2 linked regions of the Caenorhabditis elegans genome follow. The protein of the gene in region 1 purifies or fractionates together with the protein of each later gene. This does not show direct contact. Each region holds a gene or a part of one and is shown in the gene's direction. Other genes may lie near its edges.

Region 1 (4,378 bases):
AGATGAAAAGTGACTGATTGTGAAAGACAGATAATTACTAGGCCATTTAGAGAAATTTGCAAATCTGGAACAACTAGATTAAGAAAAAATTTTGTAGCTTGCCATAGATTTCATTCGGAGCATTAATTATGAGCTGAAATACTATCCTAGTGAGCGAATTTGTCCTAAATCAGTAATAAATTGAAATAGAACTGAAAAATATATTAAATCTATTTTAAATTGTAATGGATTCCAACAAAAATTACAGATCCTGAGACTTAACACTTAGTAACAAAACAATTAAAAATTTTCTTTTTTATTTCTCACTCCAAGTCATCAAAACTAAACATTTGGAGTCTTCTTCTTCCTCTTCTTCCAATATGCGGAATTCTTCTTCATTTTTGCTCAATTTTTATTCAAAAACGCCAGCATAAGTATGTGCTCATCCTTGAATAAATGAGGCAATTGAAGAAAGAAAAAAGAAAAAAAGTGAGTGGCGAATTCTGTTGGTGGTGGCACTGGGTGAAAGTGGTGAAAACCCCTTGAAGAGATGGAAAAGGGAGACGAAAATACGCCAATTTTTCATAAATGCTTATATTTTTGTGGTTGAGCAAGGGTGCGGACAAGAGAATACCCTGTGGAGCTTTGAATGAGATGTTTGGAAATGGTTTCAGATTTGTTCATACACGACATCACAATGAAGAAGAAAATATTGGGCTATAGAAGGACAAATTCTCTTGAGTAATGGATATCTTTAAATGAGATGGATGTGTGGTAATTTCCGGTACATTTTTTCAGATACAAACGATATAATTTGGACAGGGATGTTGTTAAAGACGTAGAGATATTATTGTAACAACTAGTACATGGAGATAATAAAATATCACGCAGAAAAAAATTACCAAAGCATGAAACGTCTACTTTAATCATCAACTAAAAATTTCCAGCAGCCGTATAACTGAATAAATGTTTTTTGATAAGCTACCTGAAAATACCGAACGGTTCATCCAATCTTATCCACTCTTATCTTCAAATGTATATTATGTGGATTAAATAATCCCGCGATTCATAAATACGAATTTATAATTGTTTTAAAAATGATTTTCCTCCTATTTTTTAATATTCCCCACTTGTGTAATACTTCAAATTCATTTTCCAAATTTTTGTACGTTCATCATTCTCTATTCCTTTACCCTTTTTCCACCTGATTCTTTTTTTCAATTAAACCTATCCCTTCCTCATCACAAGGTATTCAACAATCTGAAAAACAATCTGAAATTGTCTCCACCCATTGAATACAATTGTACGCTCATTCTCTTCAACTATTTCTTACAACAATTCATTCTTTACAAGCCGGGGCTTCAACTTTTATGTGTATGTGTGACTACCGTATTAAACGACACCTCTCTATTTCCCTTTGTTGACCATCTTGCTGCCATCTCTATTCCTGTTTACTTCTCTCTTACTAACCACCGACTATAGGAGACCGCGCACTACTAGTATAATCTAAAATTGTTCCTTTTTCGGTCTCACTTTTTTTCAACCTTTCTCTCTAGGTTCCATTCAACCTTGAGGTTTGGCATCTTCGCTTTTTTTCCAAAATTTTCTAAAATCACAAAACACGAAATTATTTTCTCTCGACCATCCTTCGCCGAATGTCTTGTATTTAACACGTCATATCACTACTGATCAAGTCCTCATTTTTTTCCATTGTGTTCGCCCCTTCTAGTGATAAAATGATAACATAACTATTATATGTATAATCACATAATCAATTGGTGATGACTGCTGATAACAGTTAAAACAGCACGACTTTCTTTTCCTGCATATTAATCTGAAAACCTGTCTCCATCAATCACTTTTTTTCATTTTTTAGGAGACCGCCTCCCACAGCCAGATTTATTTTTTAGACTGTCCCTTGCTATATACACGTTTTTTGTCGAAGAAATCACTCGTGAAACAACAAATTCAAAAATGATTGACGATATGATCACAGCGAAGAAATTCAGTGCAGACATTTTGGAAAAGGCTGAAAAATTAAAGTGAGTTTTTTTTTAATTTTTAGTTGACAATTTTCCGTTCCAGTGAATTTGACATTTAATTTGGGCAACGGCTACTAGTTTTTGACATTTTCAAATTGTTGACTTGCATTCCGATAAATCTATTGAGGATTTGAGAGTAATAAAAAGCAAAAAAAAAATTTCGGTTTTGGACGCCAATTTCCAACAACAACACCTGAAAACATTTAACCTGAAAACATTTTACAGCACATTTTTGTGAAAAACCATTTTTGAGAAAGTAATTTTTGCAGAGTTTCAATCCCATCCGTACCTGATAAAATCGATTCTCCATTCTTCTTTGCCAGATTTTTGAATGCAAATAATGGAGATGTGGAAAAGACACGCCAGAAAATTATACAGTTATTCGAACATCGTAAACTAATGGGATATGAAAAAATCAACGATCTCGATATTTTTACAACCGTAAATATTGGAAAGGATTGTTTTGAGGTGAGACTTCCCAACACTGGATAGAATTACACCTTTTGTTGTTTTTCAGAGATTCCATATTTCTCAACTTAACTATGAAGTCACATCAAAAAATCTTCATGTGTTTGTACAAAAAATGGAAGGAACTGATATCAAAGAAATTTTAAAAGTGATGCCATTGAGCTATGTTCTTCACTCATACTTTATGCTCCAAGAAAATTTTTCAAGAGCAATGGCACACACTGAAAGAAAGACAGGAAAAACATCTTCAGTCGTCTGTATTCTGGATTTGAAAGGATTAAATCTAATGGATTTCATGAATCCGTTGTCAGGACCTGCACAGTTGGCACGGCTCGTGGTGCAAGTTTGGGCAGAATATTTCAGCGAACACGTGAGTGTATAATTTCAGTTTTTACTTGAACAAAACGAGAAATTCAATATTTTAGTTGTGCAAGCTTCTTCTTATCAATCCACCTGGAATTATATCCGTCATGTGGCAAGTCACTAAACGACTCGTGGACCCTAATACAGTAGAAAAGTTAGCTTTCTTGAGCAACGTGGAAGATTTGAAAAAATATTTGGAGCCGGAGGCAATTCCAGTCGAATATGGAGGAACATATCGTGATGATACTGGATATGCAGATCCACCAGAAGGAGCATGTAAACAACCAAAGAGAATTACCAAAGAAGATTATAAACCACAAGAGTATATTTGGGTTAAAAACGGGATTCTCAAGGCACCGAAAGGAAAGAGTTACTCGATAAAAGCATTCCAGACATCAGAGTATATCATGTAAGTTATAAATTTAGAGGAAATCGAATTTTATTTGATGTTACTTACAATTAAATTTTTTTATGTTAGAGTATTTATTTATTAAAATGTTTTCATTTCATATAATTTTCATGAGAGAAAATTTCCAAAAATTGCCGATTCGCACAGAATCGTGAAAATTTTGTGCAAAAACTACAAAACCATTCACACCTTCTGAAACAATTCCGAGAAAATAATGTCCTTTTTCACAGAAAAACTACGACGGAAGGTAAACTGGTTTGGAATTACACAACCAGTGGAGACGTTGACTTCGAGATTGTTAAACGAGACGCTGGTAAAGAGATGGCTATCTGGCCGAAGATCACAGTTACAAGTCTTAAGGTTTGTTTCTTCCCTGTTTTGTTGAATTTGCACTAAAATGTATTTTCAGTTACCAGAGTTTGGCGAGAAACTTGTTGCACCGGGAGAGTATATTCTAAGGTTCAAAAATCCATCAAGTACGTGGTTCCCAGTGAAAGTCAATTGTGCTGCTGAAATTTTAAATGTGTAAATATGACAATTCATGTATTATTATCTTTATTATGAGAATGTTCTTACCGAACATAAAGACATTAAACAAATAAAAAATCAAAAAACCAAACACCCATATCAGATATTCTTTGTATCGAGGAAACGATTTCTGAGACAAATATAGATCACGAGTAGGAATTGAATTGAAATTATAATTACAGTTAAGGAAATTAGTGCAATCCAACGGTTCAATTGAAGGCAATAACCATCTAATTGGGTTGAGTCTACAATTGTTTGAACGAGAAGCTCGGCATGGACTTTTTCAGTATCTTCATTTCCAGTTAACGTTGTGTCCTCACTCTCATCAAAAGTTGTAAATCGGCGGTTACGTGATGGACAATTTGCCTGAAAATAGTATGAATAAACTCAGATTTTAGGAACAATGCCGTAGAGAGTTGATTAGAACTTTTGAACAAAAAACTAACAATATTGATAGTTGCGTTGTCCAACAAATTGTTGAAGATTATATTACCAAAATAATTTTTAATATTAACAAAAAATCTCACCTTTTTACACTTTTCACAGTACTTCACCTCACATTCAATCTTGACAGCCTCTCCCTGTTTAA
Region 2 (4,627 bases), on another chromosome or scaffold:
GAGAATTTGGAGCTTTTCGGCTCAAATTATTGGAATATGTTGTTGTAGTCCTTAGAAGGCTATAAACTGCAGATTGGGTTGAATTTTTCCGTTTTTCAGACAAAAATTTAACAAATTTCAAAATTTTAGGCTAATTTCAATTTTCAAAAACTACGAAATTGACCGCAAATTATTTAAAAATAAAAATTTCATGGATTTATGAAAATTTTAACAAAAATTAAATTTTTTAAAGGTTTTTTTTCGGAAAAACCTTTCCAAATGTTCCCAATTTGGTTGAGGCTCACAGACTACAAACTACAAAATTTTGCGGGAAACTGAATTTTTTCAAATATTTTACGTTAAAAATTCAATTCTGAACCTTAAAATCAAAATTGTTCCAATTTTTAGCGAAAAAAATAAATTTTCATTTTGGGTGAGGGTCAGAGACCCCTATGAGCTCCATTACAAACTACAAAATTTCTAGCCTCTACCAAAGTTTTTTGAGATAAATTTTACATTTTTCAGTTTAAAACTGGATTTTTTTGTTCAATTGTTCTGAATTTTGAATTCAAAAATGCAGTTTTACACTGAAAGTTTCGAAAAAATGGCAAAAATCCTTTTTAAATCTTGATTGAGGCTCACAGACTACAAACTACAACATTTTCAGCCTCACCAAACATTTCTCACTTGAAAACTGGATTTTTTTGTCCAATTTAACTGAATTTTCAATTCGAAAATGCAGTTTTACACTAAAAGTTGAGCAAAAAATACGAAATTTGGCCAAAAATCGTGAAAATCCTTTTAAAAATGGGCAAACTACAAACTACAACATTTTTCAGCCTCAACCAAATTCAAAAACTTGTTTTTAATGGTTTTTTGCCGATTTTAATGCATTTTTCGGCGTTTTTCCGGCAATTTCTTCAAGTTTTCTTGAAATTTCTCTTACCTTATCTTTAATAAACGCATTATACACCTCATTGGCACGAACTCGCTTCGTTCCGTACGAAGTTCGCAGCAACTGCATGAAATTCTTCTCAAAATCATTGGAAAACTGTCGGAGATAGGAATTCGAGTTCTCGGCAAAGAGCAAAAGTTGCCGTTGATGTGCTTCGGAAGTTAAGTGGCATTTGAAGCCGTTCGCGTCTCGACACTGCTTTTGGCACATTTGGCAGAAGCTGGAAATAATAATAATCATTTTTATTAATTTTTAACTGTTTAATTGAATATTTCGTTAATTTTAACTCAATTTAACCAGCAAAAACCGACAAAAATCGCTTAAAATTAATTATTTTTAAATTTTTACTTAAAAAGTGCCATACAATTTCAATTTTTGTAATCCTTTCGATTTTGTTCGATTTGCCAAGTCTTTTGAACTTCCTTTTTCGTGTTTTCCCATTTTTAAATCTGAAAAAATTAGGAATTTTAGGTGAAAAAGCTTGAAAAAGCTTGCAAACCAAAAAACTAAAGAAATAAATTCGAAAAACACGCGCTGTGGATTTACGGTAAACAACGCGCACTAGCGGGATTTCGGAGTGTCGTTGCAAATATTTATTTTTTTTTTTTTTCGATTAATCTTTTTCAGCGAATTTCGATGAATTTTTAACGAAAAACTTTAATTTTTTACTATTTCAGGGTAAAATGAAGCTTCCACTATTCAAAAAAGATGGAATGTCGCGGAAGGAACAACGAAAATCCGCGAAACAGCTCAAGAAAATGCAGGCAAAGGCATTTTCCCAGAGAACTCCGGTATATTTTGCGATTTTTTGCTTCAAAAATTCAATTTTCAGATAGAACAAGTGATGAGAGAGACGATGGGAATGACGAAAGAGGATAAAAAGAAGAGAAAACGGAAAAGACAGCTGGAAGCGAAGAAAGAGCAGAGAAAATTGGAATATCTGCAGAATAAAAATCGAAATGACGGGGATTCCGATGACGAGGAGGATATGGAAGATTCTGAAGACGAAGAAGAGGTTTTAGCATGATTTTTGTATAGAAATAACTCGAAAATTCCAGAAAAAGCCCACAAATCGCAAGGGAATCGTCGAAGTGAGCGTGAATAAGGGAAAACGGAAGTATGGTGATGATTCTGAGGATAGTGATGAGGATTTGACCTATGAACAGTATATGGAAGAGGTTCAGGTAGGAGAAAATGCGAAAAAAACGGAGAAAAACTGAAAAAACGGCTATTTTTGGCAGATTTTATCGATTTTTCGTCTGAAAATCGTGGAAAATGTAGCTTAAAACATTTAAAATTGCCAAAAAATACGAAAAAATGACGAGAAATCAAAGAAATCCTATAAAAATCGACTAAATATTGGTTGAGGCTCAGACTACAAACTACAACAATTCCTGAGCCTCAACCAACGAGAAAATTTAATTTTTAATATTTTTTACCCGAATTTTCTCTAATTTTTTAAGGTTTTTAGACTTAAAATCAAAGTAAATGTCGTTTAGGAATGTTGAAATGACAAAAAAAATGCGAAAAATTGCAAAAATTCAAGAAAAAACACAAAAAAGCTGATGAAATTCTAGTTGAGGCGCAGAGACTACAAACTACAATATCGTCTGAGCCTCAACCAACGGGAAAAGTTAATTTTTAATAGTTTTTTCTCGAATTTACTCGAATTTTGAAAGTTTTTTTTTTAACTCAAAAGCAAAGTAAATGCCGTTTAGGCTTGTTAAAATGATAAAAGTTGCGAAAAAATAGCAAAAATTCCTGAAAAACACTAAAAACAGATGAAATTCTGGTTGAGGCTCAGACTACAAACTACAATAACTCCTGAGCCTCAACCAACGAGAAAATTTATTTTTTAACAGTTTTTTTTTTCTGAATTGTCTCTAATTTTTAAAGTTTTTTGGGTTAAAATCGGTGGAGAAGTAGTTTATGCACGTTAAAATGACAGAAATTTCGAATAAAATTGCAAAAAATCGAGAAATAACACTAAAAACCGACGAAATTCAGATTTAAGGCTCAGACTACAAACTACAATATCGTTTGGGCCTCAACCAACCGAAAAAAAACTGATTTTTTGGTTTTTTCCTCCAATTTTTTAGACTTTTTTTGCTAAAATATAAACATTTAAAATGTGAAAAATTCAATTTTTCCACAGATTTTTTACAAATTCCCACTAAAAATCCAATTTTTAATGCAAAAATTGTCGATTTTCATCTATTTTCACTTCCAGACAGCGACAAAAAAGCGGCGACAAGAAGCCGACGGAACTGAGGAAGATGACGCCGCAATTCGTAAATATGGAGTACTTTTAGGTGTAAATGAGCAGAAAAAGGAGCGAGATGGCAAGCTAAAAGTACCGAAATCCATGAAAAGTGATGGATTGGATTGTGAGTTTGTAGTTTGTAGTCTTTAAAAGCTAGGAATTTACCTGAAAACCTGGAATTTACATAAAAATTTCGAATTTTCACTCAGAAATTTGAATTTTTACTGAAAAATTCCAACAAAAAAAATGGTTGATGCTAAACAGTTTGTAGTTTGTAGTCTGTGAGCCTCAATCAAGATTTAAAAAGGATTTTGAAGGCTGAAGTCTGCTTTTTTTTGCAATTTTTAAACAAGTTTCGTATTTTAATGAAATTTTCAGCGAAAAACTGCAGTTTCGACTTCAAAAGTTTGGAAAAATGGTTAAAAACCTAATTTTTAACTGAGAAAATGTGGTTGAGGCTGAAAAATGTGTAGTTTGTAGTCTGTGAGCCTCAACCAGTTTTTGAAATTATTTTTTGATGTTTTTTCGCCGTTTTTGGGTCATTTTCGATAATTTTTCAATTAAAAATACAAGAAAGTTGGCCAAAATCTTCATTTTTATCTAAAATTAACAAAAAAAAACCTCAATTTTCATTCAAAAATTAGACAGAAAAATGTCAAAAAAAATTTAAGTGAGGCTAAATATTTATTATTTTTATTTTTAATTTTAATTTTTTTTTTTTTTTATAAAAAAAAAATACAAGAAAGTTGGCCAAAATCTTCATTTTTATATAAAATTTTAATAAAAACTTGAATTTTCACTCTAAAATTCAAAATTTTCAGTACTTCTCGACTTTTGCGATTCGGAACGGCGTAAGGAGCTAATGGAAGATGAACTTGACGATGATAATATGGAAGATGAAGAAGAATTTGAAGATGAAGAGGATGAAGCTGATGAATCTGGAAATGAGCTAGATCTTTCTGAAGGAGAAGAGCCTGTGGAATCGGAGGATGATGAGGATATGGTAAATATTACTGGAAATATCTTGAAATACTGAAAAAACTGAAAAAAAAATGATTAAAATACACGATTCTAGGCTGAAATTCGACATTTTTAACGTAAAAAATCGGAACTTTGTTTTGAAAAAAAACATTTTCGAAAATTTTGACCAATTTTCCAGTTTTTACTCAAAAAATACTCCAAAATTGCACAAAAACCGCGAAAAACCATTAAAAAATCATTTCAAAATTTGGTTGAGGCTCACAGACTACAAACTACAAAATTCCTAGCCTCAACCATATTTTTTGTGATAAAAAATGACTTTTTTCAGTGAAAAATTGGGTTTTATGTTCGATTTTTTATTGAATTTTCAAATCGAAATTGCAGTTTTTCGCTGAAAAATCCATTAAAAATACAAAATTTATTCAAAAATTGCAAAAAAAAAGCTGAAA

What was found. The genes of interacting proteins can lie anywhere in the genome.
Region 2: the proteins of T03F7.7 (region 1) and Y52B11A.10 fractionate together in Caenorhabditis elegans (co-fractionation; one large-scale study listed by BioGRID). This does not show direct contact.

Annotation. Positions count from the first base shown.
Region 1 is NC_003283.11:11,309,569-11,313,946, forward strand, and holds T03F7.7 (CRAL-TRIO domain-containing protein), read left to right. Parts: upstream 1-1,853; 5' UTR 1,854-1,953; coding exon 1,954-2,021; intron 2,022-2,290; coding exon 2,291-2,489; intron 2,490-2,538; coding exon 2,539-2,859; intron 2,860-2,914; coding exon 2,915-3,261; intron 3,262-3,491; coding exon 3,492-3,621; intron 3,622-3,670; coding exon 3,671-3,790; 3' UTR 3,791-3,877; downstream 3,878-4,378. Other genes in the region: cutl-18 (CUTiclin-Like), read right to left, coding at 3,889-4,155, 4,317-4,378.
Region 2 is NC_003279.8:11,037,445-11,042,071, forward strand, and holds the start of Y52B11A.10 (MI domain-containing protein), read left to right. Parts: upstream 1-1,611; 5' UTR 1,612-1,617; coding exon 1,618-1,725; intron 1,726-1,766; coding exon 1,767-1,949; intron 1,950-1,992; coding exon 1,993-2,118; intron 2,119-3,164; coding exon 3,165-3,321; intron 3,322-4,018; coding exon 4,019-4,200; intron 4,201-4,627. Other genes in the region: dxbp-1 (DNA/RNA-binding protein Kin17 WH-like domain-containing protein), read right to left, coding at 926-1,154, 1,299-1,375.